Linked DNA regions of Canis lupus familiaris. The protein of the gene in region 1 purifies or fractionates together with the protein of each later gene. This does not show direct contact. Links are inferred from orthologs where the notes say so. Each region holds a gene or a part of one and is shown in the gene's direction. Other genes may lie near its edges. The genes, in order: SMAD2, EP300, SMARCC2, SMARCC1, USP15, TGFBR1 and SKIL.

The links.
Region 2: the proteins of SMAD2 (region 1) and EP300 purify together in Homo sapiens (affinity purification with western blotting; 4 studies listed by BioGRID). This does not show direct contact. The link is inferred for Canis lupus familiaris from reciprocal best matches to the Homo sapiens genes SMAD2 and EP300.
Region 3: the proteins of SMAD2 (region 1) and SMARCC2 purify together in Homo sapiens (affinity purification with mass spectrometry; 3 studies listed by BioGRID, with this or other methods). This does not show direct contact. The link is inferred for Canis lupus familiaris from reciprocal best matches to the Homo sapiens genes SMAD2 and SMARCC2.
Region 4: the proteins of SMAD2 (region 1) and SMARCC1 purify together in Homo sapiens (affinity purification with mass spectrometry; 3 studies listed by BioGRID, with this or other methods). This does not show direct contact. The link is inferred for Canis lupus familiaris from reciprocal best matches to the Homo sapiens genes SMAD2 and SMARCC1.
Region 5: the proteins of SMAD2 (region 1) and USP15 purify together in Homo sapiens (affinity purification with western blotting; 4 studies listed by BioGRID). This does not show direct contact. The link is inferred for Canis lupus familiaris from reciprocal best matches to the Homo sapiens genes SMAD2 and USP15.
Region 6: the proteins of SMAD2 (region 1) and TGFBR1 purify together in Homo sapiens (affinity purification with western blotting; 8 studies listed by BioGRID and IntAct, with this or other methods). This does not show direct contact. The link is inferred for Canis lupus familiaris from reciprocal best matches to the Homo sapiens genes SMAD2 and TGFBR1.
Region 7: the proteins of SMAD2 (region 1) and SKIL purify together in Homo sapiens (affinity purification with western blotting; 8 studies listed by BioGRID and IntAct, with this or other methods). This does not show direct contact. The link is inferred for Canis lupus familiaris from reciprocal best matches to the Homo sapiens genes SMAD2 and SKIL.

Annotation. Positions count from the first base shown.
Region 1 is NC_049228.1:43,687,275-43,691,436, forward strand, and holds the start of SMAD2 (mothers against decapentaplegic homolog 2), read left to right. Parts: upstream 1-1,362; 5' UTR 1,363-1,460; intron 1,461-1,846; exon of another isoform or gene 1,847-1,930; intron 1,931-4,162. UniProt on the Homo sapiens protein: Receptor-regulated SMAD (R-SMAD) that is an intracellular signal transducer and transcriptional modulator activated by TGF-beta (transforming growth factor) and activin type 1 receptor kinases.
Region 2 is NC_049231.1:25,034,750-25,038,249, reverse strand, and holds part of EP300 (histone acetyltransferase p300), read left to right. Parts: coding exon 1-72; intron 73-341; coding exon 342-2,564; 3' UTR 2,565-3,500. UniProt on the Homo sapiens protein: Functions as a histone acetyltransferase and regulates transcription via chromatin remodeling. Acetylates all four core histones in nucleosomes. Histone acetylation gives an epigenetic tag for transcriptional activation.
Region 3 is NC_049231.1:846,729-850,228, reverse strand, and holds part of SMARCC2 (SWI/SNF complex subunit SMARCC2), read left to right. Parts: intron 1-924; coding exon 925-1,056; intron 1,057-1,161; coding exon 1,162-1,277; intron 1,278-1,656; coding exon 1,657-1,781; intron 1,782-2,998; coding exon 2,999-3,058; intron 3,059-3,175; coding exon 3,176-3,213; intron 3,214-3,499; coding exon 3,500-3,500. UniProt on the Homo sapiens protein: Involved in transcriptional activation and repression of select genes by chromatin remodeling (alteration of DNA-nucleosome topology).
Region 4 is NC_049241.1:41,659,012-41,662,511, forward strand, and holds part of SMARCC1 (SWI/SNF complex subunit SMARCC1), read left to right. Parts: intron 1-1,245; coding exon 1,246-1,359; intron 1,360-2,161; coding exon 2,162-2,315; intron 2,316-2,797; coding exon 2,798-2,911; intron 2,912-3,500. UniProt on the Homo sapiens protein: Involved in transcriptional activation and repression of select genes by chromatin remodeling (alteration of DNA-nucleosome topology).
Region 5 is NC_049231.1:5,996,448-5,999,472, forward strand, and holds the end of USP15 (ubiquitin carboxyl-terminal hydrolase 15), read left to right. Parts: intron 1-491; coding exon 492-674; 3' UTR 675-2,525; downstream 2,526-3,025. UniProt on the Homo sapiens protein: Hydrolase that removes conjugated ubiquitin from target proteins and regulates various pathways such as the TGF-beta receptor signaling, NF-kappa-B and RNF41/NRDP1-PRKN pathways.
Region 6 is NC_049232.1:56,498,754-56,502,778, forward strand, and holds the start of TGFBR1 (TGF-beta receptor type-1), read left to right. Parts: upstream 1-1,225; 5' UTR 1,226-1,260; coding exon 1,261-1,348; intron 1,349-4,025. UniProt on the Homo sapiens protein: Transmembrane serine/threonine kinase forming with the TGF-beta type II serine/threonine kinase receptor, TGFBR2, the non-promiscuous receptor for the TGF-beta cytokines TGFB1, TGFB2 and TGFB3.
Region 7 is NC_049255.1:35,132,076-35,135,575, forward strand, and holds part of SKIL (ski-like protein), read left to right. Parts: coding exon 1-608; intron 609-3,500. UniProt on the Homo sapiens protein: May have regulatory role in cell division or differentiation in response to extracellular signals.

The DNA of each region.
Region 1 (4,162 bases):
CTGAAAAGAGAGAGTAAGCTTCAAGGCCTCTTGCTGTTTGAAACGGTCATCCGGTATTACCTGTTCCTAAGGACTGATGACGATGCGTGCTGGCCAGGGAGCCAAGAAAATGGTGTTTGTAGTGCTGGCTCTGGCACCGACAGCCTGCCCTAAGACCTAGGTCTCTCTTCATCTGTAGTCCTACGGTGCTCGCCGCCAAACATAGTAGATGCTTAGTAAGTAAATACTTGAACGTGATTAGTCGGGGTCCATGCTTCCGGCCGAGGCTTGGTGTCTGCAGGGTCAAAGCGACAAGGTTACGGCAGTGCGGATGCCCAGCCGCCCCCCCGGCTTTGGGCGGCCTGGACGGCCTGGGCGGCCGGCAGCTTAGGGCCTCCGGGTCGGGGCCTGCGAACACCGCCTGGACGCCGGAGAAACGAGGAGGAAGGGAGGGCCAGAGAGCGGTGAGGAGCATCGTGTTAGGCTCCTAGCGTCTAGACCTGGCGAGGGCCTCTCGGAGCATGCGGCAGTCGCACCACCTTCCGCGAAGGCGGAACCACGTCCCGGCTCTTCAGAAACACCTGGCATCCCCCCGCCCGCCGCGGGGGCCCGGAGAAGAGCCCCGCCAGCGCCGGTTTGCGGCTCGGCCCCCGCCCCGTTCGGCTGCACGAGGGCCCCGCCCACTCACTCGGCGCGGTCGGCCCGGCCCCGGCTCGGCGCGTCCTCGAGGCGGCCCTCGGGCCTCCCCCGGGACGAGCACGTGTCCGCTCGCGGCGGGGTCCGGGCGGTGGGCTCGGCGGCGGCCCACGGGCCCCACCCAATGGCGCGGGCAGGACGGCGGGGCGGGGCCGGGCCGGGGCCGGCAGCGCGGCAGGTCCCGCGCCTTCCCGCCGCGGAGCCGCCCGCGGCAGCGCGCCCCAGACGTCGCCAGCCGAGGCCGCGGGCGTGCCACCCCGCCTCGGCCCCGGCCGCCCGCCCGCCCGCCCGGCGGCCGCGCCTCGCCTCACGCTCTACGGGGGAGGCGGGACCAATCAGCGAGCGACGTCTCCCTTCCGATTCGAGGCCCCCGACGCGCGGCTCACACCCCGAGCACCGCGCGCGCTCATTGGCTGCGCGCGCCGCCGGTCCGGCCGGGAGGGCGGGGCGGCCGAAGGGAGCGGAGGTGGGGAGGTAGTGGCCCGCGAGTCTCCGAGCCCCGCTCGCGCCCCGGCCCTTCCCGGGCGCTCGGCCTCCCTCCTTCCCTCCTCCGCTCGCCCCGTCTTCCGTGCGCGCCGGGCGCTGCGCTCGGCCGGCGTGCCTCGCGCCCTAACGGGCGGCCGGGGGCGCCAATCAGCGGGCGGCAGGGTGCCAGCCCCGGGGCTGCGCCGGCGAATCGGCGGGGCTCGCGGCCCGGGGTGGGAGGCGGGTCTACCGCGCGGCCGCGGCGGCGGCGGAGCAGCTCCCAGCCAGCAGCCAGCGAGCGCCGAGCCAGCCGCCCGAAGGTGGGTGCGCCGCGCCGCGCCGCTGCGGCCGGCGGCGGAGGGCGCAGGGCGGAAGCGGAGGTGGGCCGGCGGGCGCGGCGGGGGAGGGCTCGGCCGTCCGGGCGGCCCGGGGCGGGGGGCGGGGGATGCGGGCGGGCTCGCGCCCGAGGGGAGGAGGGGCGGCGGCGCGGCGCGGCGGCGGCGGCGGCGGCGGCGGCGGCGGCGGCGGGACGCGCGTCCCCACCCCCTCCCTCCCGCGGGCGGTGGCCGAGCCCGCGTCCCCTCCCCGCGCGCGGGGCCGCGGGCCGGGCACTGGCTGGGGGGCGGGGCGGGCCGGGCCGGGCCGGGCGGCCGCGGGAGTGTTTTCAGTTCCGCCTCCAGTCGCCCCTTCCCCTCTCCCCTCCCAGCCCCTCATCCCATTCGGAAGAGGAAGGAACAAAAGGTCCCGGACCCCCGGCTCTGACGGGGCGGGACCCGGAGCCCCGGTGCAGGTAAAGCGGCGGCGCCCGGCGGGCCCTCGGGGTAGGGGTGTGTTTGCGTCGGGCTCGGGTCTCGGCGAGGCTCGGCGCGTCGCACGGCCCTGGGGGCCGGGGTGTGGCGGGGTCGGGGCCGGGGGCGCGGGGGGGCGCGGGGGGGCGCGGGGCCTGGGTCGGCGCCGGAGCTGCCCGGCCGTGGCCCGTCTCCCCTGCCGCGAACACGCTTCGTACTTTGTGGTTCTGATTTTCAAAGCCGGAGGGACCGAGCTCTTCTTGTTTCGGGAGTTGTTGGCAAGCCCTGGTAGGAGCGTGCGATACTTCGCTTCCACTTTTTTTTTTTTTTTTTTTGGTCCTGTAACCTTTGTTAACCATTCTAAACCCGGGGTTCGGAACTGCTCGCGTGTACTCTGCACAAGCAGGCACACGGCTGATCCTCCGTGGAGATCCTGCACTCACTTGTGAAAGTTGCCCTGGGAGTGGAGCCTGTTGGTTTTTATCACACGCCTTTTAGAAAGCACGCTAATTGATTTCACGTATTTCAAACTTGGTTTACACATTTGCAACCTTAATGGTTTTGTTCTCTCTTGGGGGATACTGTCCTTGGGGTTGGGTACTTTTGCCTTTTACTTACTTAACCTTTCTGTGGTTATGGTTTCCTTTTGATCCTAAACAAAAGAAAAAACAATACCTAGGTTGGTTTTGGTGTTCCTTCCTCTTGACCCCTTAAAAGCTAAATACTACCGGCTGGTTGTTCATTAAACCATTATTTTAAAAACCATCTCCGGGTGGAACGATTCTGGAAGTAGCATTTTCCGTGAAAACCGTGTCTTGTTTGTTACACTTTTAAGTGTCCTCAATTTTGCTGTCTTGAACTTCTAAAGTAACACATGTAAAGTAACTATTAATGAATAAATAAATGGTCACTGCAGACCTGCTTGGAGTTATTCCATTTTTCGAAAGTGCCCCCCCCCCCAAAATCTGAGTTAATTTACAGAATTTTTAATGATTCTGCAGTCTTAGTTCCTTTCCATTTTCCTTCTGAATTTTGTGTGAATTGAACCTGTACCACTGATTGTAAGGAAGTTTTTCCTTGAGCAGAATAAGAAAACAAATTTGCTACCACTCTGAAAATACATTTGCTATTGTTCTACTTTTGATTTTGACTCCCTTTAAAAAGTTTTTCTTAGGTAGAAGTGTAAGTTAAATAGTTAAATGAAGTTTGAGGAGTTTTAATGTAAATAAAGAGATAAGGGAAGCAAATGTAACAGTTGGGAGAGATAACGTGAAACGGATTTCATAAATGTGTCCTAGTTTGAAGATTTTATTTTTTCATTTGCTTTGAAAAAAACCATACAGGATATTGGTGGAATTTTTCTGAATCAGACGGTCATTTACCAAACATTTACATTAAATTTAGAAAGTAACGCTGACTTTATTTTTAAGGTTCCTTAGTTTTTGCCATAAAACTAGTTACGGTAGTAAATAAGAATATTTTGAGTCCAGGTGCTCACTTAGTTCTCTTAAAGTTGAGTTTAAGGTAGTTCAGTGGCCAGTTTTTATAAATGTGATAGGAAACATCCATTTCTGGGCTTGTTTAGTAAGAAATCGCTCTTTGGGCTTCGCTTTTGTACTTTGTAGCTATGCCTTCTATAGTGCTTTCACATTGTAGGTGTTCAGCAAGAGTTAGGTTTTCGTGGCTGTAACTTCTTACCTGTGCCTAGGCATAAGTGATCAAATCTCTACACAGTCTGTAAGGTTCATGTAATAATAGTCTTGTAAGAAACCATGCAGGGTAATTTCCTGTTGTTTGTGGCTTGTCAGGCCCGGTATGTGTTTTAACTAAGTAGGGATTTGGGGATGGTTTTGTGTATTTCAGCAGTCCTTTCTCTTTAATAGGAACAAAGCTGGTTTCTACTTCAAGATGGCAAAAGGTCCCCTTTTCATTTTCCTACTGTAAATATTAGAATCATATTGCCATAATCTTGTTACTTCACGTTGGGGGGAGATATGTGAGTGAAAAACAGTTGAGCTGCATCATCCACTGATCAAAGACCCATTTTTATATTTAGCAAATATTTTCAGTTTGGGCTTTTATAAATGTCTGAAAGCTCCCCTTATTCTTGTTTGGTTTTTATTCTGTTGGTTTTGTGCTTTAGGGCTCCAAAGGCCTTGTTTTGTAGCAGCTTTTTATACAGGTGTTTTTGTAATGCATATAAAAGCTGTATTTAGTGCAGTCTGGCAGATGGG
Region 2 (3,500 bases), on another chromosome or scaffold:
GACCGCTTTGTCTACACCTGCAACGAGTGCAAGCACCATGTGGAGACCCGCTGGCACTGCACTGTCTGCGAGGTAGGCCCCGGGGGTGGGGAGCAGAGGGCGCTGGGGTGGGTGGGGGGCTCCAGGTTCCTGAGAGGCAGGAGAAACACTGGTGACAAAGGCCTGTGCTCGGGGCCATTGGTGAGTAGTAGCGCAGAGTGGGAGGGGCCTGGTCTTATATTTCAGTGGTAGCGCTGAAGAGTCTTTCTCTAGAAGGGGGTTTTGGGCCCTAGCAGAATATGTAGACTGTTTTTTTAATTACTTAAATCTTGGAGAGTTGACTGTGCCTGTTTCCCCCCCAGGATTATGATTTATGTATCACCTGCTATAACACTAAAAACCATGACCACAAAATGGAGAAACTAGGTCTTGGCTTAGACGACGAGAGCAACAGCCAGCAGGCTGCAGCCACCCAAAGCCCAGGAGACTCCCGCCGCCTGAGCATCCAGCGCTGCATTCAGTCCCTGGTGCATGCCTGCCAGTGCCGGAACGCCAACTGCTCACTGCCCTCCTGCCAGAAGATGAAGCGGGTGGTACAGCACACCAAGGGCTGCAAACGGAAGACCAACGGGGGCTGCCCCATCTGCAAGCAGCTCATCGCCCTCTGCTGCTACCACGCCAAGCACTGCCAGGAGAACAAGTGCCCTGTGCCCTTCTGCCTCAACATCAAGCAAAAGCTCCGGCAACAGCAGCTGCAGCACCGGCTCCAGCAGGCTCAGATGCTCCGCAGGAGGATGGCCAGTATGCAGCGGACCGGGGTGGTGGGGCAGCAGCAAGGCCTGCCCTCCCCAACTCCTGCCACTCCAACCACACCGACTGGTCAACAACCAACCACCCCGCAGACACCCCAGCCCCAGCCTCCCTCTCAGCCCCAGCCCACTCCTCCCAACAGCATGCCACCCTATTTGCCCAGGACTCAGGCTGCTGGCCCCGTCTCCCAGGGTAAGGCAGCAGGCCAGGTGACCCCTCCCACTCCCCCTCAGACTGCTCAGCCACCCCTTCCAGGGCCCCCACCTGCTGCAGTGGAAATGGCAATGCAGATTCAGAGGGCAGCTGAGACGCAGCGCCAGATGGCCCACGTGCAGATTTTTCAAAGGCCAATCCAGCACCAGATGCCCCAGATGACTCCGATGGCCCCCATGGGTATGAACCCACCCCCTATGGCCAGAGGTCCCAGTGGGCATTTGGAGCCAGGGATGGGGCCCACTGGGATGCAGCAGCAGCCACAGTGGGTCCAGGGAGGTTTGCCTCAGCCCCAGCAGCTACAGCCTGGGATGCCGAGGCCAGCCATGATGTCAGTGGCCCAGCATGGTCAGCCCTTGAATATAGCTCCCCAGCCAGGACTGGGCCAGGTAGGTGTGAGCCCTCTCAAACCAGGCACTGTGTCTCAACAAGCCTTACAAAACCTTTTGCGGACTCTCAGGTCTCCCAGCTCTCCCCTACAGCAGCAACAGGTGCTTAGTATCCTTCATGCCAACCCCCAGCTGTTGGCTGCATTCATCAAGCAGCGGGCTGCCAAGTATGCCAACTCGAATCCACAGCCCCTCCCTGGGCAGCCTGGCATGCCCCAGGGCCAGCCCGGGCTGCAGCCGCCTACCATGCCAGGCCAGCAGGGGGTCCACTCTAATCCAGCCATGCCGAACATGAACCCCATGCAAGCGGGCGTCCAGAGGGCCGGCCTGCCCCAGCAGCAGCCGCAGCAGCAACTCCAGCCACCCATGGGAGGGATGAGCCCCCAAGCTCAGCAAATGAACATGAATCACAACACCATGCCTTCACAGTTCCGAGACATCTTGAGGCGGCAGCAGATGATGCAGCAGCAACAGCAGCAGCAGCAGCAGGGAGCAGGGCCTGGAATCGGCCCCGGGATGGCCAACCATAACCAGTTCCAGCAACCCCAAGGAGTTGGCTACCCCCCACCACCGCCGCCGCCACAGCAGCAGCAGCAGCAACAGCGGATGCAACATCACATGCAGCAGATGCAACAAGGGAACATGGGACAGATGGGCCAGCTCCCCCAGGCCTTGGGAGCAGAGGCTGGAGCCAGTTTGCAGGCGTATCAGCAGCGACTCCTCCAGCAACAGATGGGGTCCCCTGCTCAGCCCAACCCCATGAGCCCCCAGCAGCATATGCTCCCAAGCCAGGCTCAGTCCCCACACCTCCAAGGCCAGCAGATCCCTTCTTCTCTCTCCAATCAAGTGCGCTCTCCCCAGCCTGTCCCTTCTCCACGGCCGCAGTCCCAGCCTCCCCACTCCAGCCCTTCCCCAAGGATGCAGCCTCAGCCCTCTCCGCACCATGTCTCCCCACAGACCAGTTCTCCACATCCCGGACTGGTAGCTGCCCAGGCCAACCCCATGGAACAAGGGCATTTTGCCAGCCCGGACCAGAGTTCAATGCTCTCTCAGCTCGCTAGCAATCCAGGCATGGCAAACCTCCATGGTGCAAGCGCCACGGACCTGGGACTCAGCACCGATAACTCAGACTTGAATTCGAACCTCTCACAGAGTACACTAGACATACACTAGAGACACCTTGTAGTATTTTGGGAGCAAAAAAATTATTTTCTCTTAACAAGACTTTTTGTACTGAAAACAATTTTTTTGAATCTTTCTTAGCCTAAAAGACAATTTTCCGTGGAACACATAAGGACTGTGCAGTAGCTGTTTGTGGTTTAAAGCAAACAAGCCAGATGAACCTGAGGGATGATAGAGTACAAAGAATATATTTTTGTTATGGCCGGTCCTGCCGGCCTCTTTTTTTCCCTTGTGTGTGTGGTTCAAGTGTGCACTGGGAGGAGGCTGAGGTCTGGGAAGCCAACCACACGCTCCTGCCTTGCACCTCCAATAGGTTTTATTATTTTTTTTAAATTAATGAAAATATGTAATATTAATAGTTATTATTTACTGGTGCAGATGGTTGACATTTTTCCCTATTTTCCTCACTTTATGGAAGAGTTAGAACATTTCTAAAACCAGAGGACAAAAGGGGTTAATGTTACTTTAAAATTACATTCTATATATATATAAATATATATAAATATATATTAAAATACCAATTTTTTTTCTCTGGGTGCAAAGATGTTCATTCTTTTAAAAATGTAAAAAAAAAAAAAAAAAAAAAAAATTTCCCCTTTCCTCCCCTGAAGTCAACTTTTGTGCTCCAGAAAATTTTCTATTCCGTAAGTCTGAGCGTAAAAACTTCAAGTATTAAAATAATTTGTACATGTAGAGAGAAAAATGACTTTTTCAAAATATACAGGGGCAGCTGCCAAATTGATGTATTATATATTGTGGTTCTGTTTCTTGAAAGAATTTTTTTCGTTATTTTTACATCTAACAAAGGAAAAAATTTAAAAGAGGGTAAGAAACGATTCCTGTGGGATGATTTTAACATGCAAAATGTCCCTGGGGTTTCTTCTTCGCTTGCTTTCTTCCTCCTTACCCTGCCCCTAACCCCCCCAT
Region 3 (3,500 bases), on another chromosome or scaffold:
TCAGTTGGTAGAGCATGCAACTGTTGATCGTGGGGTTGTAAATTTGAGCCCTGTGTTGTGTGTAGATGTTACTTAAAAATAAAATCTTTTTAGGGGTGCCTGAGTGGCTCAGTCAGTTAAGTGTCTGCCTTTGGCTCAGGTCATGATCTCTGTATCCTGGGACCCAGCCACCTGTGGGGCTCCCTGCTCAGTAGGGAGCCTGCTTCTCCCTCTCCTTCTCCTTCTGCCCCTACCCCCTGCTCATACTGGCTCTCTGCCCTTTCTAATAAATAAATAAAGTTTCTTCAAGAAGTTTAGAGTTTACATCAAAACTTTATAGTTGGGGGATCCTTGGGTGGCTCAGCGGTTTGGTGCCTGCCTTTGGCCCAGGGCACGATCCTGGAGTCCCGGGATCAAGTCCCACGTTGGGCTCCTGGTGTGGAGCCTGCTTTTCCCTCCTCCTGTGTCTCTGCCTCTCTCTGCTTCTCCCTCCTCCTGTGTCTCTGCCCCCCCCCCTCATAAATAAACAAATAAATAAATAAATCTTAAAAAAAAAACTTTATAGTTAAAAAATAATAATAAAATAAAATCTTAAAAAAAAAAAAAAAAAGATGTATACTGGGACCAGACCACTCCTTGGAGGTCAAGCACAGGCTCTTGTCTCCTTCAGCTCTTCTCTTAAGGGCCCCCAGACAGGGGCACCTGGGTGGCTCAGTTGATTGGATGTCTGCTTTCAGCTCAGTTCATGATCCCAGGGTGCTGGGATTGAGCCTGGCATCAGGCTCCCTGCTTAGCGGGGAGCCTGCTCCTCCCTCCCACTTGTGCTCTCTCTTACACTCGCAATTGCTCTCTCAGATAAATAAACAAGATCTTATAAAGGGGGGACCCACAGACAGCTGTGGCTTTCAGGCTTCTCTCCAGCACAGTCTGCCTTTTGTACTTCAGGTTCATGCAAAGTGGATTCTGGACACAGACACTTTCAATGAATGGATGAATGAGGAAGACTATGAAGTAAATGATGATAAAAGCCCTGTCTCCCGCCGAAAGAAGATTTCAGCCAAGACTCTGACGGATGAGGTGAAACTTCCTCTTCTTTCTTCCCTGATCCCTTAGCACAAGCATGGGGATAAGTCTTCAGTGGGGATTGTTGGCTGACATTCACTCCAATTCTCCAACCTGCAGGTGAACAGCCCAGATTCAGATCGACGGGACAAGAAGGGGGGCAACTATAAAAAGAGGAAGCGCTCCCCCTCTCCTTCACCAACCCCAGAAGCTAAGAAGAAAAATGCCAAGAAAGGGTATGCCAGCCGCTACCCTGCCCCACCTTCACCATTCTCTCCATGTTGAAGGAAGGAAGGATAGACTCCTTCCTGTGACTACCTGGCCCTGACTGGGGTCGGCCCTGCTCCTGTAGGTGTCCTGAGAGGGAGGGTGAGGTCTTCTTTAGCTGCCCACTTGTTAGTTCTAGTTGCAGCCACTAGTGACCTCAGAGTGACATCTTCAAGGGAAGACCTTTGCACTTCCCTGTCCTCTGTAGTGATGCATGTCTATGCATGCTTAGCTCCCCCTTGGGGATTCTCTCTTGCTTTACTCCCCTTGAACCTCAGCTTCCAGGGACTCCTTGCTTAAGGGTGACCAGGTTAGCTTTCATTACCTTTCCTCCCCTTTCCTCCCCAGTCCCTCAACACCTTACACCAAGTCAAAGCGTGGGCACAGAGAGGAGGAGCAAGAAGACCTGACAAAGGACATGGATGAGCCTTCACCAGTCCCCAATGTAGAGGAGGTGACGTTACCTAAGACAGGTACGGGCCACACCAAGCTTCGGGGACCTACCTTCCTAGAGGGCTGATTTCCCAGGCCGAGCTCCGGGTCTTGAGGATCTGGCCCTTCAATTTAGCTGTTTATTAAAATTATTCTCAACATGGGCAGTCCTCTGACTTGAGCCACATCTGAGTTGTGTACTGTGCTTGTACCTGACAGTAGTTGTTTCTGAACTGTTTTTGATCACTTACCCCCTTCAGTAAAGTATTTGATCACAGATTATTATTATTATTATTTTTAAAGGTTTTATTTACTTATTCATGAGAGACACAGAGAGAGAGAGGTAGAGACACAGGCAGAGGGAGAAGCAGGCTCCACAAAGGGAGCCCGATGTGGGACTCGATCCCAGGACCCCGGGATCATGACCAGAGCCGAAGGCAGATGCTCAACCACTGAGCCACCTGGGTGCCCCTTGAGCATGAGTTATATATGTGCTGCTGTACCGTTGCTTTAGGAACATCGTGAGACACATGCAAACATTATCTAAAAAATGGGAAAATGTAAAGGATAAACTGAAAAAAACAAATATAAAGAGAAGTTCTGTTATTCTCTACCTGTATTCCACTGGACCATCTCTTGCCGTCCTGTGTGAGAACCCCACTTTGGAGACCATTGCTTTGCAATGATAGAGAGTTGTATAGCTGCAAAGGTGGACTGCGATCTGTATTCCATAGACGAGCTCCGATGTCAAGGAGTGTATTTCAGGGGTTGCGGTGGGGGCTACTGAGAGAGAGGAGTGCTGGCCTCAACCCCCTTCATCAATCACGGCGGCTCTCTTCCATATTCGTGTTTTCTCCTGAGCTGTTGTGTACGGATTCGGTTAAGAGAAGCCCCCTTGCTTTCAAAAATGTTGGCGATCCAACCAGTCCTCTCCAGAGTGATTTGGTCAGACTCTGTCTCAATCCATTAAGAGTTCACAGACACACAGATGGAGATAAGAGGGGCCTGTTAGAGACAGGAATGCTTGATGAGTGTCCGTAGAGTGGAAGATGCTTCTGTATAGGAAGAGTTAAGTGACCGTTTGGCAGGGGAAGGAGGGAAAGTGGCAGTTGAGTTTCAAGCCCCAGAATGACTGTGCCTGGAGGGAGTTACCGAACCCTTTTTGTGATCAGAGATCTCTTAGAATTGTTAAAGGTGGAGAGTTAAAGAGTTGATTCGGGCAGACCCTGTCTGATAAAATGACTCTCTCTCCTGGCAGTCAACACTAAGAAGGATTCAGAGTCTGCCCCGGTCAAAGGAGGCACCATGACTGACCTGGGTAAGGAGAGGAGGCTCTGCGGCCCGCTTCCCCTAGCCTGCCACGGCTTTTCAGAGGGCAGGACTCTTGCTGCTGCTCTGGAGGCTCCACTCCTGATTTGCTCACTCTCTCTTTCAGATGAACAGGAGGATGAAAGCATGGAGACCACGGGCAAGGTGGAGCCAGTTTAGAGAGGCCCTCTCTACCTCTCTATGGGATTCGGATTTGCGCTTCTAAAGTTCCTTCTACCCAGAACTTTCTACTGCCTAGGGTTTTCCCACCTTAGTCTAGTTTTAGCTGTTGTTCAGAACTCAAAACTCTGACCCTTTCTAGGTCTTGGGGCCCTTAACAGTCCATTCCCATGGCATCATTAGTTCCCACTTTCCCGGGGTGTGGGAGAAGCAGAGGGTTGCCAGGGGCATAATGGGAATGCTGAGTGTCCAGCGGCCTCCATACTTTTAGG
Region 4 (3,500 bases), on another chromosome or scaffold:
ACCTTTCTATAACAAAGCTGTAAGGATTCATTTAAAACCACAATCACAGATTTGGTATAAGAAACCCTGATAATTTTTTTTCATCTAGTTAGACATGGTATATTCTTTTGGCTAACTTGGCAATTGCTACCATTTGTAAATAGTTCCAGTTCTTGGCAGTCTCTTGTTTAAAAGCACAATTTAGCATTTTAGTTTCCGTAAATCTAAAAATTTATCTTTAGATCTTTGTTTATCCACTTGTCCATATACGAGAGCTTTTTTGAGCAGGGTACCTTCTCTACTCTGATGTAGTCACCCTTAACTTGCTAGATTTTTGTTTTACTTTTGTGGTGAGAACTTTTGCTAGCTCTCTAGCTTCTTTTCACTTGTTTTAAATATTTTGTCATAGAAATGCTTAGGGATGTTGTGAAATCTGCTGTGACTCAAAAAATCAGTTTCTCTCTCTCTCTCTCTTTTTTTTATCTGTTCTTGTCTTAGCTTTGATTTTGCCCTCATGGGTTCTAGTCCTTGCCTAACTGGGTATATAGCCACTGACCTGACCCACATGTAGCTCTAGGAAGAATATAGAGATGAGATGGAACATGTGTTAAGAGCATAGATTCCAGAGTATCTCCCTCCACCATGTTGAATTCTAGCTCCATAGTTACTAGCCTTGTGGTCTAGGACACAGTTTTTAATCACTCTGTGCTTTAATTTGCTTGTTGATAAATGAGATGATAGTAGTAAACCCTACTTTATGAAGAAATTGTGAGATTTAAATGAATTATGGTAGGATACACAGTAGTTGGGAGACAGCCTAAGTGACCAGGTGTTATTTGCAAATTCAGCAGGGAACTAAGGATTTATCCATTCACCACTGTGACCACTTTTGTATTTATGTTCACATTACTATTATCATCATCATTTTTAAGCGAACTCTACCCATTGTGGGTCTTGAACTCCCCTCCCCAAGATCAAGAGTCACATGCTCTATCAACTAAGCCAGCCAGGCGCCCTGTGTTACTTTAACTTCATCAGATTTTACTCCATTTTATTTATTGTTTTTAAATAATAGTGGGTTTTCTTTTGCATATTAGGGGTTTTTATCCTTAGTTACATTCATGACTGTAAATAGTCAATACTATTGTTGGTTGGAATATTGACTTTTTGGTGGATTTGGTTGGAATATGATAATTTTGGGCTCTGTGAGTTGTTATTTCTGAAAGGATGTGTGTCTGCCTTATGAATTTTGCCTCTGCTTTTTAGATACTTGGCATATCGAAATTTTATGATTGACACATATCGCCTAAACCCACAAGAGTATTTAACCAGCACTGCTTGTCGGAGGAACTTGACTGGAGACGTGTGTGCTGTGATGAGGTAAAGATGCCTGAGTTTTTCTCAGACACTTCACTTTAGGTGGTTACTGATGCATTGCTGTTTAATGTTTGATGAAACAAGATCTTTTCTTTCTTAATAAAATACCTTAATCAAATATCTTTTATTTAGTTGTATATTTAATACCGTGGCATTTTCTCCTCATTTTAAGATTTTTATAACTGACATCTTTTGTTTTATAATGAAATCCTAAAACGACCAGGGATGGAGAGTGGATAAGCTCTGTACAGTAGATCTATCTAAAGAAGCAAATCACATGTGAATCTTCTGTTTGAATTTGGTCTGTGTGTGAGTTCTTTCACCATGGACTTCAATGAACATTTGTTCTCTGATTTCTGTGATTGAAATAATTAGGCTTTGTACTGGGTTTTGGGGTGCTTTGCTGTCAATATTTTTTTTTTTTTAATTTTTATTTATTTATGATAGTCACAGAGAGAGAGAGAGAGGCAGAGACATAGGCAGAGGGAGAAGCAGGCTCCATGCACCGGGAGCCCGATGTGGGATTCGATCCTGGGTCTCCAGGATGGCGCCCTGGGCCAAAGGCAGGCGCCAAACCGCTGCGCCACCCAGGGATCCCGCTTTGCTGTCAATATTATTTTGAATTTACAGAAATTGTCCCTCATACAACAAACCAAAATTGTTAATTAACTTTATGATGGTTCATAGCCTGCAGAGAACATTTACTTGTTTTGTTGTTTTTATTTTTTAATGAAATGCGATAATGGTTATGAAGGAAATGAGATACATTCCCTAGATTTTAACTTTATGAGCTTTACTCTTCCAGGGTTCATGCCTTTTTAGAGCAGTGGGGGCTTGTTAATTACCAAGTGGATCCAGAAAGTCGACCCATGGCAATGGGACCTCCTCCTACTCCTCATTTTAATGTGTTAGCTGATACCCCCTCTGGGCTTGTGCCTCTACATCTTCGATCACCTCAGGTAACTTAATTATTACATTAATATTATAGTTTTAGTATTAGTAATTATTACACTAAAAAACTAGTATCAGGCATTATTATTACACTGATTATACACTGATGTGTGAAACTTCTTCCCTTTCCTAACTTTTGGAAAGTGGATATCCACACACATACATTCTTGAAAAGATTAGTATGTTAACCAGATTTTATATAGCCTTAAGTTAGAGTAGCATGAGTCTAGGGCAAGAATTGTTCTTTACATGAAATGGTAGAGCATATTAAAGAAAATCTGTTTACTGTTTTCTCTGGGATTTAAGAGAGGCAGAAAAATGTTGCTTATATAGTATGTTGCAATGTTGGAAGTGTAGGGCAAAGGTTTGGATATTTATTTTTTTAATAAAATCTCCTTACATGTCAGTATTAAACAGTACTGTAAAACCTTCTATCCCCCCTTACTTTGTAGAGGTTAATACAGCCATCTATCATTTGTCCAACTCCTAGGTCCCTGCTGCTCAGCAGATGTTAAATTTTCCTGAGAAGAACAAGGAGAAACCAATTGATTTGCAGAACTTTGGTCTTCGCACTGACATTTACTCCAAGAAAACCTTAGCAAAGGTAAGGACTTTTTTCTAGAAACAACTGGGCTGCAATCCAGCATGTCCTCTTCTTTGTCCTAAGAAGTGTCATTTTTCATAAGAAACTTAACTGTCTATAATGTAAAAGGGTACACATTCTACTTACTCTGTTGGCATTTTATAAAACAAGTCATTTACCATTTTTTCTGTATGGTTAGAATGGTAGGTATTTTAAACTAACTCTGATTAATATGTTAAATAAAATGAGAAAAAGTGGAGAATTTCAGCATAATTGGAATCTATACAAAGAATCAAATGAATATTGGATAATTAAAAAAATACACCCGAAATTAACTCATTGGGTGATTTTAGCAGCAGGTTGAGCACAACAGAAGACAGGATTAAATGAGCTCAGACTGGGGGTGCCTGGGTGGCTCAGCAGTTGAATGTCTGCTTTTGGCTCAGGGCGTGATGCTGGATCCGGGATTGAGTCCCACATCGGGCTTCCTGCATGGAGCCTGCTTTTCCCTCTGCCAATGTCTCTGCCTCTCTCTGTGTGTCTACATTAATAAATAAATAAAAATCTTTCTAATAAATAAATAAATAAGCTCAGACTGGGTAGTAGAGCC
Region 5 (3,025 bases), on another chromosome or scaffold:
GAAACAACTTGAGTATTTGTTACGCTAAGAAGTGCAGTAGAGGAGGACTTAGTAAGGATACGCGGTGATGATGGATGGAGCAATATCCTTAAAACGGTAGGAAGAGCTGGACTCATAGCAAACTTCAAGTGAAGCCATTAGTAGTAGAAAGAAGCTTACCTTTTCCTTAGAGATGGGAGGGAAGAAGGCATAGAATTGTTTCATGTTAGAGTAGCTGGGTTAATCTGTGATATACTTGCATTTACTTATCTGTTCGATCAATGTAATAGAGAATAAAAATGTTAATTCTAGTGAGTATTCTTTCTTTATACATAGAAGTTGTCTTATATATAAACCAATTTTAGTAACTTCCATTTGACCCTTTGTGATTTTTAAATTTGATTTAGGCTCTGTCACCAAAGTCTTTTGGTTACCAGCTGAAACATTTATGGTATACTTAATGTGATCTTTGAGAATCATGACCATTTTAACATGCTTTGTTTTTTCAACAGTCCAAAGCAGCATATGTACTTTTCTACCAGAGACAAGACACTTTCAGTGGAACTGGCTTTTTTCCTCTTGACCGAGAAACTAAAGGTGCTTCAGCTGCCACAGGCATCCCATTAGAAAGTGATGAAGATAGCAATGATAATGACAATGATATAGAAAACGAAAACTGTATGCACACTAACTAATGAAAGTCCTAGAAGCCATAAAAGAGAGACTTTCCTGCTGGTGGTATCTGTTGAAATGATGAAGTTACCCACCACATTAAACAAAAGTCTGAGATGGGGAGTTTCAGATAACCGAATGTAAATCCTTTATCAGATTTTAACTTGTGCAGTACTTGAAGTGAAACACAATGAAAACTTTAACAGAAATTGTCTCTTAATACATTTACAGTCTTGTAATTACAAGCTAAATATATATAGGAAATCACAAATAAATCCCTTTTAAGTTTGCTGCTGTTTTGATGAATTATGTTTTCTTTAATTTTTTGGATGTGAGTTAATTGATGACAAATGTTAAATTTGTGGATGTTGGTCATTTATTTTGCTCTAATAATACTGCAAGAAAACTATGGCTGAACTTAGTTTTTGGATAATCTAGTTCATGTGCATTAGGCTGCCACATATATTACTACTATGATATTTAGCTGCGGTATCAATGTGGCATAAATACTGCAGTAGTATTCTTGGAAAACCAAATTTTCAAATCTATCCCTGGTAATCAATATGGGCCTATTAAAGAACCAAATCATGATATAAGAAACAATCTTGGAAAAGTTATTTTCTTTTGTAGTATCATTAAAAATCCAGATTATGTTCATCTTGCTGCTGTGGAAAACAGGTTCTAGATTTCACACTCCATCTAAAATCATTTTTCAGTTAAATGTAAGTATTTTTTACTGCTATTGGGATCTATTCCTTAGATATTCAAAAAAATTTTGACTTGCTTTAAAATGCATATCTTTAATCTGGTGTTGGTCCAAAATTAAAATTTTTGCTGTCTGTTTTTCTCTACCCCATTTTTTGGTAATTTGGCAACTTTTAGCTCTTCCAATTATTATAATATAAGGACAGACTTAATAGTATTCTGTATCCATAGTAATAATTACATCAAGCTTAGATGAGAAATTTTTTTAATATACTGGCCTTTAAATCATTAATGGACAATTGGCTTTAAAGGTAGGTCTGTTAACTTTCTTTGTGTGTTCCTGATGGAATTCACCATAGCCTTACAGCTTTTCTCAGAAGGTAACTTGTTAATTAAGAAAATTGGCATTTGCATGTTCTAGAGTCAGAACCTGTATAGTATATAAAGCATACAAACCTTGAATTTGATTTTAGTTCACCACATTCAAGGATCCAGGATGCCAAAAATATGTGTGAACATTTGAAACATTTTTCATTTGCTGCTTTTTCCCTTTGATCTAGTTGAAAGAATGTATTGTCAATTGGCATACAATACTGCCTTTAATAGAAAATCTAAATGCTGGGGCACATTTCACATATCGACTACCTGAGAAATTGCTTTGTGTCCCACTGTTATTAAAGCAAAAAGTATAATGTTCTTCACTTGAACTAATCAAATACAATAGATTATAAATTGTGTATTGTAAATAAAAGTTCACTCTGTGAGTGCACATTTTGGTAAATTATTTATTTATGTTAGCATTTAAAAGTTAAAAAAAAATGCATTTGACCAGGATAAATGAGGTATGTTGATCATGGCTTTGCTTTATACCTTGATATTAAAGCTGGTTTTTCATCCTGGTATTTTAAAAGCTGCTTTGGGTTTTTGTTTTTTTTTTTTTTCTTTTTTTTCTTTTCTTTTCTTTTCTTTTCTTTTCTTTTCTTTTCTTTCTTTTTTCTTTTCTTTTCTTTCTTTCTTTTTTCTTTCTTTTCTTCTTTTTTTTTTTAATGTAAACTAACCTCCTGCATGACAGAGGTTAAAATTTTGTCTGCACTTGAGTTCACTTGAGTTTACATTTGAAATGTGCATGTTTATTTATACAGATTTCAATAAAGCTATTTAAGGCCTTTTTTAGTCTTTTATTTCTTACTCTGAATCTTTTGATAAAAATCCCCCATTTTATGGGTAGGTGACTATATAATAGACATTTTAGTTAGTGTATAATTAAAAATAGAAAGGAAAGCATGTCAAAGTAAAGCAAATCCTATTAAGGATATGTTTCAAAGTTGATTTTTTAATCTAAATATTCATTAAACATTTGTGCACCTACTAATCACTGTTCTGTAGCTTTAAGATATAGCAGTAAAGAAGCATCCCTCCACTCACAGAGCTTGCAGTCTTTCTGCTGTCTACCAACTAATAGGCTTTCCATTTTTCTGAGGTTTAAAGAAAAACCAAAATTAACTTTTTCCAGCCCTGGATTATAGTCTCCACCTCAGTTGTCCATAGAGACCATTTACTTTTAATGCCTGTGATTAACTTTTATTCCCACTAAAAGAAGTGTTCTAAAATAGAAAATGTTGTTAATAATGTTGAATTTGTCAATGTCAGCTGCAAAAAAAAAAAACAA
Region 6 (4,025 bases), on another chromosome or scaffold:
TTCTCTGTTCTGTGGAACACAGCCTCCTCGGCTGTGTTTGTGTCTGAAGAGAGGACTAGTCTGACAGGAAGAATTACAAATCTGGAGCTCATTTTGGTGTCCCAGAGGGAAGGTGGGTGGAGCGTCTCACAGTAAATTAGGAATTCAGAATGAAAACGTAGCCGAGTTTATTTGGGTTTCTAGTGACACCTCAGAATTATTGTGCAGGCGTGTCAGAGGCAAGTCAAAGTATTGACTGCTCCCCCTCCGCCAGGGGAGGAGTGCTGCGAGCCAAGAAGGGGAATCCTCGTCCTCTGGGGCGGGGGGGTGTGGTGAGGGGGTGGTGGGGACCTTCCTTTTCCCACCTGGATCCGGAAGGGGTCAGAAGGAGGGAGTGTGGTTTGGAGCCGGGTGCTGGGTCTGCTCGGAGTTCCGGAGGGAGAGAGGCTGCGGGGGGGGGGTGGGCTGAGGGGCTGAGGGAGGAGGGGGCGTGTCCGATCTCAGGATCCGAGGCCTGAGGCCGGGATTTGAGGACTTTCGGGGCCTGGAGTGTGGTTGGGGTCAGACGCCGACGGCGGGGGCGCGGACGGGCGGCGGTAGGCGGGAGACTGAGGCGTCCGTGGAAGGCACCGAGGCAAGATTTTTCCGGGCGGCGGGGCGGATATCGAAAGTTGAGGCGTGGGTCTGGGAAGTGGAAGTTGAAGCCTGCCCGACGACCCCGCGGATCTGGGTGCAGGTGTTGGGGACGCGGGTGCGGGGCTGTGGATGGGGTCGGGGTCAGTGCTGGATCTTACGCGCTTGGAGAGGTTGGAAGAGCGTCGCGCGGCCACAGCCTCTTCCCGAAGGCGCCTCACAGCCAGACACCCCTGTGGCGCGACCCCCGGCGTCCGCGGCCGGAGGCTGGCCCAGGCCGGGGCGCCCCACACCCTGCCCCCGGCCCGGCCTCCGCGCAGCCGGGGGCGGCTCTGGCTGGGGCAGGGGTCTGGCAGCACGGCCCCCGGGGAGCCTGGGGGCGTGGCCAGAGGCCGGCGCCCGCGGCTGCGGATTGGCTGTCCGGCGGGCCGGTGGGCGGGGCTCCGGGCGGGGTCCCGCTCGGCCGCTCGCGGAGCGCCGGGAGGCGGGGCCGGCGGGAGCCCGGCAGCCAATGGACGCGCAGCCCCGGAGCAGTTACAAAGGGCCGGAGCGAGGCCGCCGCGGCGGCGGGAGGTGGGGCGAGGCGAGGCTTGCTGAGGCGAGGCGGCGGCCGGGCCGGACCGGGCCACAGGCGGTGGCGGCGGGACCATGGGGGCGGCGGCCGCTGCTCCGCGCCCCCGGCTGCTCCTCCTCGTGCTGGCGGCGGCGGCGGCGACGCTGGTCCCGGGGGCGACGGGTGAGCGGCGGCGCGGCGGGGCTGGCGGGCGGCTGCGGGGCGCGCGGGCCGGGCCCGGCCTCTGGCTCGCTCCCTCTCTTTCTCAAACATGGCGCGGGGCCGGGGGCGCAGGTGGCGGCGCGGGGCCGGGGCCGGGGCAGGGGCAGGGCCGGGGCCGGGCTGGCCTGGCCTGGCGGCCGCCACGCGAGGCGCGGGCGGGGAGCGCGGGCGGGGCGGGGCGGGGCGGGGGCGTGTGTCCGAGCGCGCGTGGACGTGCCCGGCCGCCGGCGGTCGCCCCTGCTCCGGGCTCCGGGCCGCGGGGGGGCGGCGTCGACGGGGCGGAGCGCTCGGCGGCCGGGGCTGCCTTCCGAGGAGCGAGGGGGCGCGGGCCGAGCGCCCGGGGGTGTGCGTCTGTCTGGCCGGGCCCGGCGGAGGCGGGGCGCCCCGCCCGGAGCGGGAGGGGGCGCGGGGCTCCCGGGGCTCCCGGGCGGGGTAGGGGAGCGGCGGGGGGGGCGGTGTGCGGTGGAGACCCGGGGTCACAGGGCCGCCGCCCCCCCCCCGCCCGCCCCGGGGGCTCCTTTTCCAGCCGGGGCGGCTTCGGAAGGGGAGCCTCCAAGCTTTGTGTGAGAAGGAGGAGGCACGAGGATGTGCGGAACGTTTCTTCCGTGCGTCTGGGGAGCGTTGAAGTGCATCCAGTAACCAGGAGGCTACAGATTGTTTTTCGTAGTAGAAACTTGAACGTTTTGCTCACTCTGCGGGGTTCGGAACGTTTGAATGGGAAGGACTCTCCGGATTGATCGAACGCTTTTATTTCCTCGAAGGAACGTCGCCGGTGATGTTCCTTTTCTCGAGTGACAGTAGTTTCGAATCCGGAGTCCCTCCGTGCGGTTGGTTTTCCAGGGAGAACGTTTGCTCCGTTTTCCAAAAGGGTTAAATCAGGATGGGGTACGTGGTGTCCTGACCAGCCTCCGTGGGAGAGAGAAAAACCGTTAGCATCCAGACTAAAATACTAGAAACTAAAATATAGATCCTCAGTGTTAGAAACTAAATTACAGTGAAAGTACATTTCTGTTTCTAAAATTGAATACCAAATGTTTAAAAAACAAAGAACTCCAAGAATGAGACTGCCACTAGTTACTACTGTCTGTGAAGAGCTTCACCATGGTGTAGATGCGCGAAGTACACCGAAGTGCGTTATCTAATGCTGACCGTGAAACCCTCCTAGTGGCATTTGCCCCATTTTATAGATGAGAAGACTGAGCTTTGAACAGGTTAAGTACTCCATGACTAAGGACTGGAGTTAGGATTTGCACCCAGAGTCCAGTGTTTCCAAAACCTATACACCTTAATGTATATACTCGTCTGGCACAGCCCGTGTTTCTTTTCACGTTCACTAATGAGCAGTTGGTCTTTACTGTTCACTTTTTGATTTTACCCTCACAATATGAAAATGAGGTTGACTTCCCAGTACATTCCTGGAGTCCCTTCATACTAGGCCTGGGTTAGAGGAAACCGTGGATTTTTGACATTGGCCTAGGGCGTGGGGGCAAGGTATATTAGGGGCAGGTGGGAGAATCAGTAGTTCGTGTATCAAGCAAAAGTAGCATTTCTACACCACTGTTAACTAGAATAGCATAGTTCCCTCTTTGTAGCCTAGCACACTAAGTGTTCCTGTATTCAAGGAACAGTGTTGGACTTAATTGCTGCACAGAACATTGCTCAACCCGTGCTGGGGAGGAGCTTACAGACTACAGTGGCATGTATACAATACAGAGTTGATCCAGGTGCTGTTATTCTTAAGCCTACATTACCTCAACTGGACTGCCCACATTTGCTGGTTATGTTGATGTTGATCATTCATATATTCTAAAGAAGGTCAAGTGCAATTTTAAATTTATAATTTGCCTTCCTTTTTAAGACCTTGCAGTTGTTCCTTATTGTCTGGGTATCGGTTTTGTTTCCCTCTGACCAGCTTCTCTAACATAGATTTCTCTGGAGAAATTGGTTCTCTGGCCTTAGTACACAGATTAGTACCGTACCAGATGTCTACATGGATATCTCATGTGAGAATCTGGTTTCCTTTCTGCCATCATGTAAGTTTTTTCTTTGATAACATGCGTAGAGCCCAACTCTTCTTTATATCAATGCCTCTTGAATGTCTCTTCCTTTCTTTGTATACAGCCATCAGTTTAGTGTCCTGTTATCCCTTGAATCTGTTTGCTTTCCAGTTTCTCTCATCTAGACTTTTCTGTAGGTTATGGCCAAACTAATCTTCCACAGCCATTCTCACAAAGGGTTTATAAGAGTTTCCATTTGTATTCAGCAACACTTAAGGCTTATGATTAGGGCCATTTCTGAGTATTCAACCAAAAATCTCACTTCTTATTACTCTAACCCTCCAGTTCCAGCGATTTCTGTTTTTCCACTGACTCCTGACTTTTTAGCCTTCTAACTACATACTTCCTTTTGCCCCTTTTGGGAGTGAGAAGTTCTCAGTTTTGGCTTCATGTACTGGTTTAGTTCCTGAACTCTTTATTTCCCTGAACTGTATGTATAGCGCTTACAGTTTGTATTGTTGTTTGTATTGTTTATTTCTACCATCTCGCACTGTTATTTATCTGTACTTTGGAATGGTACCCAGAGGGCAAAGGTTATGCCTTTTATTCCTTTATACTTTCAGAGCCTAGCGCTGTGTTTT
Region 7 (3,500 bases), on another chromosome or scaffold:
GACTCTGTTTGCCCCAAGTCTTAAATTCGGTTCTCCGAGAATTTTCGCTCCAGCAGATAAATACCGTGTGTGACGAATTGTACATCTATTGTTCACGGTGTACTTCAGACCAGCTTCACATCCTAAAGGTCCTGGGAATACTTCCATTCAATGCCCCATCCTGCGGACTGATCACGTTAACTGACGCACAGAGACTATGTAACGCTTTATTGCGGCCACGCACTTTTCCCCAAAACGGTAGCGTACTTCCTGCGAAAAACTCATTGGCCCAGTTAAAGGAAACTGGCAGTGCCTTTGAAGTGGAACATGAATGTTTGGGCAAATGTCAGGGTCTCTTTGCACCCCAGTTTTACGTTCAGCCTGATGCTCCGTGCATTCAGTGCCTGGAGTGCTGTGGAATGTTTGCACCCCAGACATTTGTGATGCATTCTCACAGATCACCTGACAAAAGGACTTGCCACTGGGGCTTCGAGTCCGCCAAATGGCATTGCTATCTCCATGTGAACCAGAAGTACTTAGGGACACCTGAAGAAAAGAAACTGAAGATAATTTTAGAAGAAATGAAGGAGAAATTTAGCCTGAGAAACGGAAAGAGAACCCAATCCAAGGCAAGTTTTGTTTTGTTCTGTTTAAATAGTAATTTTGAATAATGGCAGAGGTTCACTTTGAAATCAAGGCTATATTTAGACTATTGCTTAACCTGTGCATTAAGAAGCTGTTCCTGCTCACACAACACAACAAAAAATACTGGTCTCTGTAATGTGTTATGTTTGTGTTACACATTTTAGGCTATAAAGTGCTTTCCTGTGTGTGTGTGTATGTGCTCGTTTGATCTTCCAAACAACCTAGTGCAAGAAGTAGGATTATTCCCATTCTACAGATAAAGAGAATGAGGCTCAGAGAGATCAAGTGGCTTTCCTAAGATTATACAGCCAGGGAGTGGGGGATCTGGGGCTTCTTTCTCAAGTCATGTTCTCTTTCTTTTTCACACATCCTGCTTTTTGATGACTAGATCTGTTGTTGTCCTAGGACTGGAGATAATTTACACTTTGGTGTTATTTCCATTTGCAAATGGTGTAATAGCTAGCCAAAACAATCCTGGTTGTAGGCTTCAAACAGCATCTTTCAAAGGTAGATCTGGGATTTCTAACACTGTTTCTGTACCTGGTATTTAGGCTTGATCGGTATTGGAAATAAATGGAAAAGGTAGGTTTATCTGAAGAATCTGTGATTCCAGTAAGCAAGTTTTTTTTTTTTTTTTAAAGAAATAACTTTAAAAGAATATGATAGCTTTAGAATAAAAAGATATTTTTAGACTAAATATTAATATAAAAATCTGTCAGTATGGAGATCGTAAACATGTTTCCACCACATTATCTGGTATCTGAAGATCTTCATTCTAAGAGTTTGAATGCCCGGGTAAAACAAGATTTGGGTTATTAAATATCCAGTTTGTTGATCTGGTTTTAACGTATACTTTTCTACTTGATTAAAATCCATATACGAGCTAGCACTATTTAACACTTACAATGTGGCAAATGTTCTTGAGCGGTTTTACGTGTATAATTTTATTTGATTCATACAACAAAAGATTGGCCATGTTTCATTTTAAGAATCTAATTTTTCCACTCTTAGTTTTTATTTCTCGAAAGAATCTCTGCCTTTTCTACTTCACAGACGAAATGAATGAGGCGTATTAAATGACTGAGGCTTATTCACAGCAACATTAGAACTTGGGCTAGAGCCTAAGATTTGGTGTCATGTGCTTTATTATGGTACCTTTAAGGTTTTGAGGGAAATTTAGTTACAGTTTAGTTTTAGAACTATGATTTGCTTCTGAAGCTCAAGAGGGTAATTTTAGACTCGAATTCAGGATAGTTTGCTACTTGCCATTTCCAAAGGGTCAGCACTTTGAGATTCCTTGCCTGTGGCTACTAGATAAGTGTATATTGTTCATGTGCAGTTATTGACTGATTTTAAAGCAGGATTGACTTCAGGCCAGTTCCCAAATTGCAGGACTTGCTTACAGCTGGATTGGCCCCACGCTGAAGTTTGTGCTTGGAAATTATCTACATTCTCAAAACGTGGCATGCTCCTTTTGATATTTGTGGTATCTTGCCCTAAGTCAATTAGGAGCCCTACTCTTACATGCCCATAGGTGACCACATTACTTGCCAGATGTTCTTGCTCCAATAATCTTCATTGCTCTAACATAAGCATTTTTGGGATAAACTACTTTGCCTGATATTCCTGCTCTGCGTTTGTGAGAAAAAGCATCTGAGAGCCAATGATAAAGGTTAAAAAGAAAAATGATGAATTTACTTAACCGAAACTGAATGTGCCAGGATTTGGGTAAAATTGAAACCATTCTTCATCTGGATGTAGTCCTTTATTGTCTCAGAAATTATTTATTTGAATTCATTTTTTTATTTGGGAAGGTCCGAGATTTTTTCCTTCACCTTTTGGCTATGTTACCTTTTTGCAGATTTACTTCAGTGTTTTGGTGTATTTTGTTAGTATTTCCAATTTTATGTGAATTTTCAGCAATTTAAGGAAATTTAGGAAGATTTCTAGTAATCAAATCTTTAGGAAAGAAAACTTTTGACTTCATGTGTATGTGTATATATATGTATATACTTGAGTGGTTTATCATGCTTGCCACTTCATATTTTGAAAGTTTACTCCTTAAAACTTTGTGAGGTAGTTCTTTCTTGAAGGTCTGTGAACAAGGCTTCTCAGATGAGATACCAGCCCCAGATGGGTCACATGTTCCAGGTTGTATAACTAGTGGGTGGTGGAGTCAGGAGTCCAATGCAGTTCTTCTGACTTGACATCTAGTAGTTTTCACAGCTTTTCCCTAAAGCAAACTTAGTAGTAGAAACTGAATTTTGAGAAACAGTAACTTTTCCTATCAATTTCCCTAAGTATACTGGTTCATAAACACTGTATTAACTTGAATTATAAACTAAGGTATATAACTGGGAGGGGGGCGGCTAGGAGATATCCTTGACTGGGGAACATTTTTTATTATCTTCTGTGAGTCAGTGAGTCGGTTGCCAAACAAACCAAGTAGACCCAGAGGAAACTCATTTGAAAAAGTCAAGACAGGCTTTCTTTCTTTCTCTCTCTCTCTCTCTCTCTCTTTTTTTTTTTTTTAAGTACAAGAGTATACTAAATATATTAATCTCTTATGTAAAGTACCTTATGCTTACTGTGAATGCTAATGTAATTCAATATATTTTGATAATTCAGTATGTTTATATAGTTTACATAGTCAAAGTATTGTCTTAGATTGAAAAAACAAAATTATGAAACTCAATAGGCAGTTGATTGAAATGTAGCAACTGTTAAACTATTTCCAAGGGTGGAAATTATATTAGTAATGATCACCAAACTATTTGCATGACTAATAGCTACATTTAATTTGCATAGTTAGTAGCTATATTTAGATGGGAGAAATAAGTGGTATAAGGTCAGTGTTCTAAGTGAGGAACTGGCTC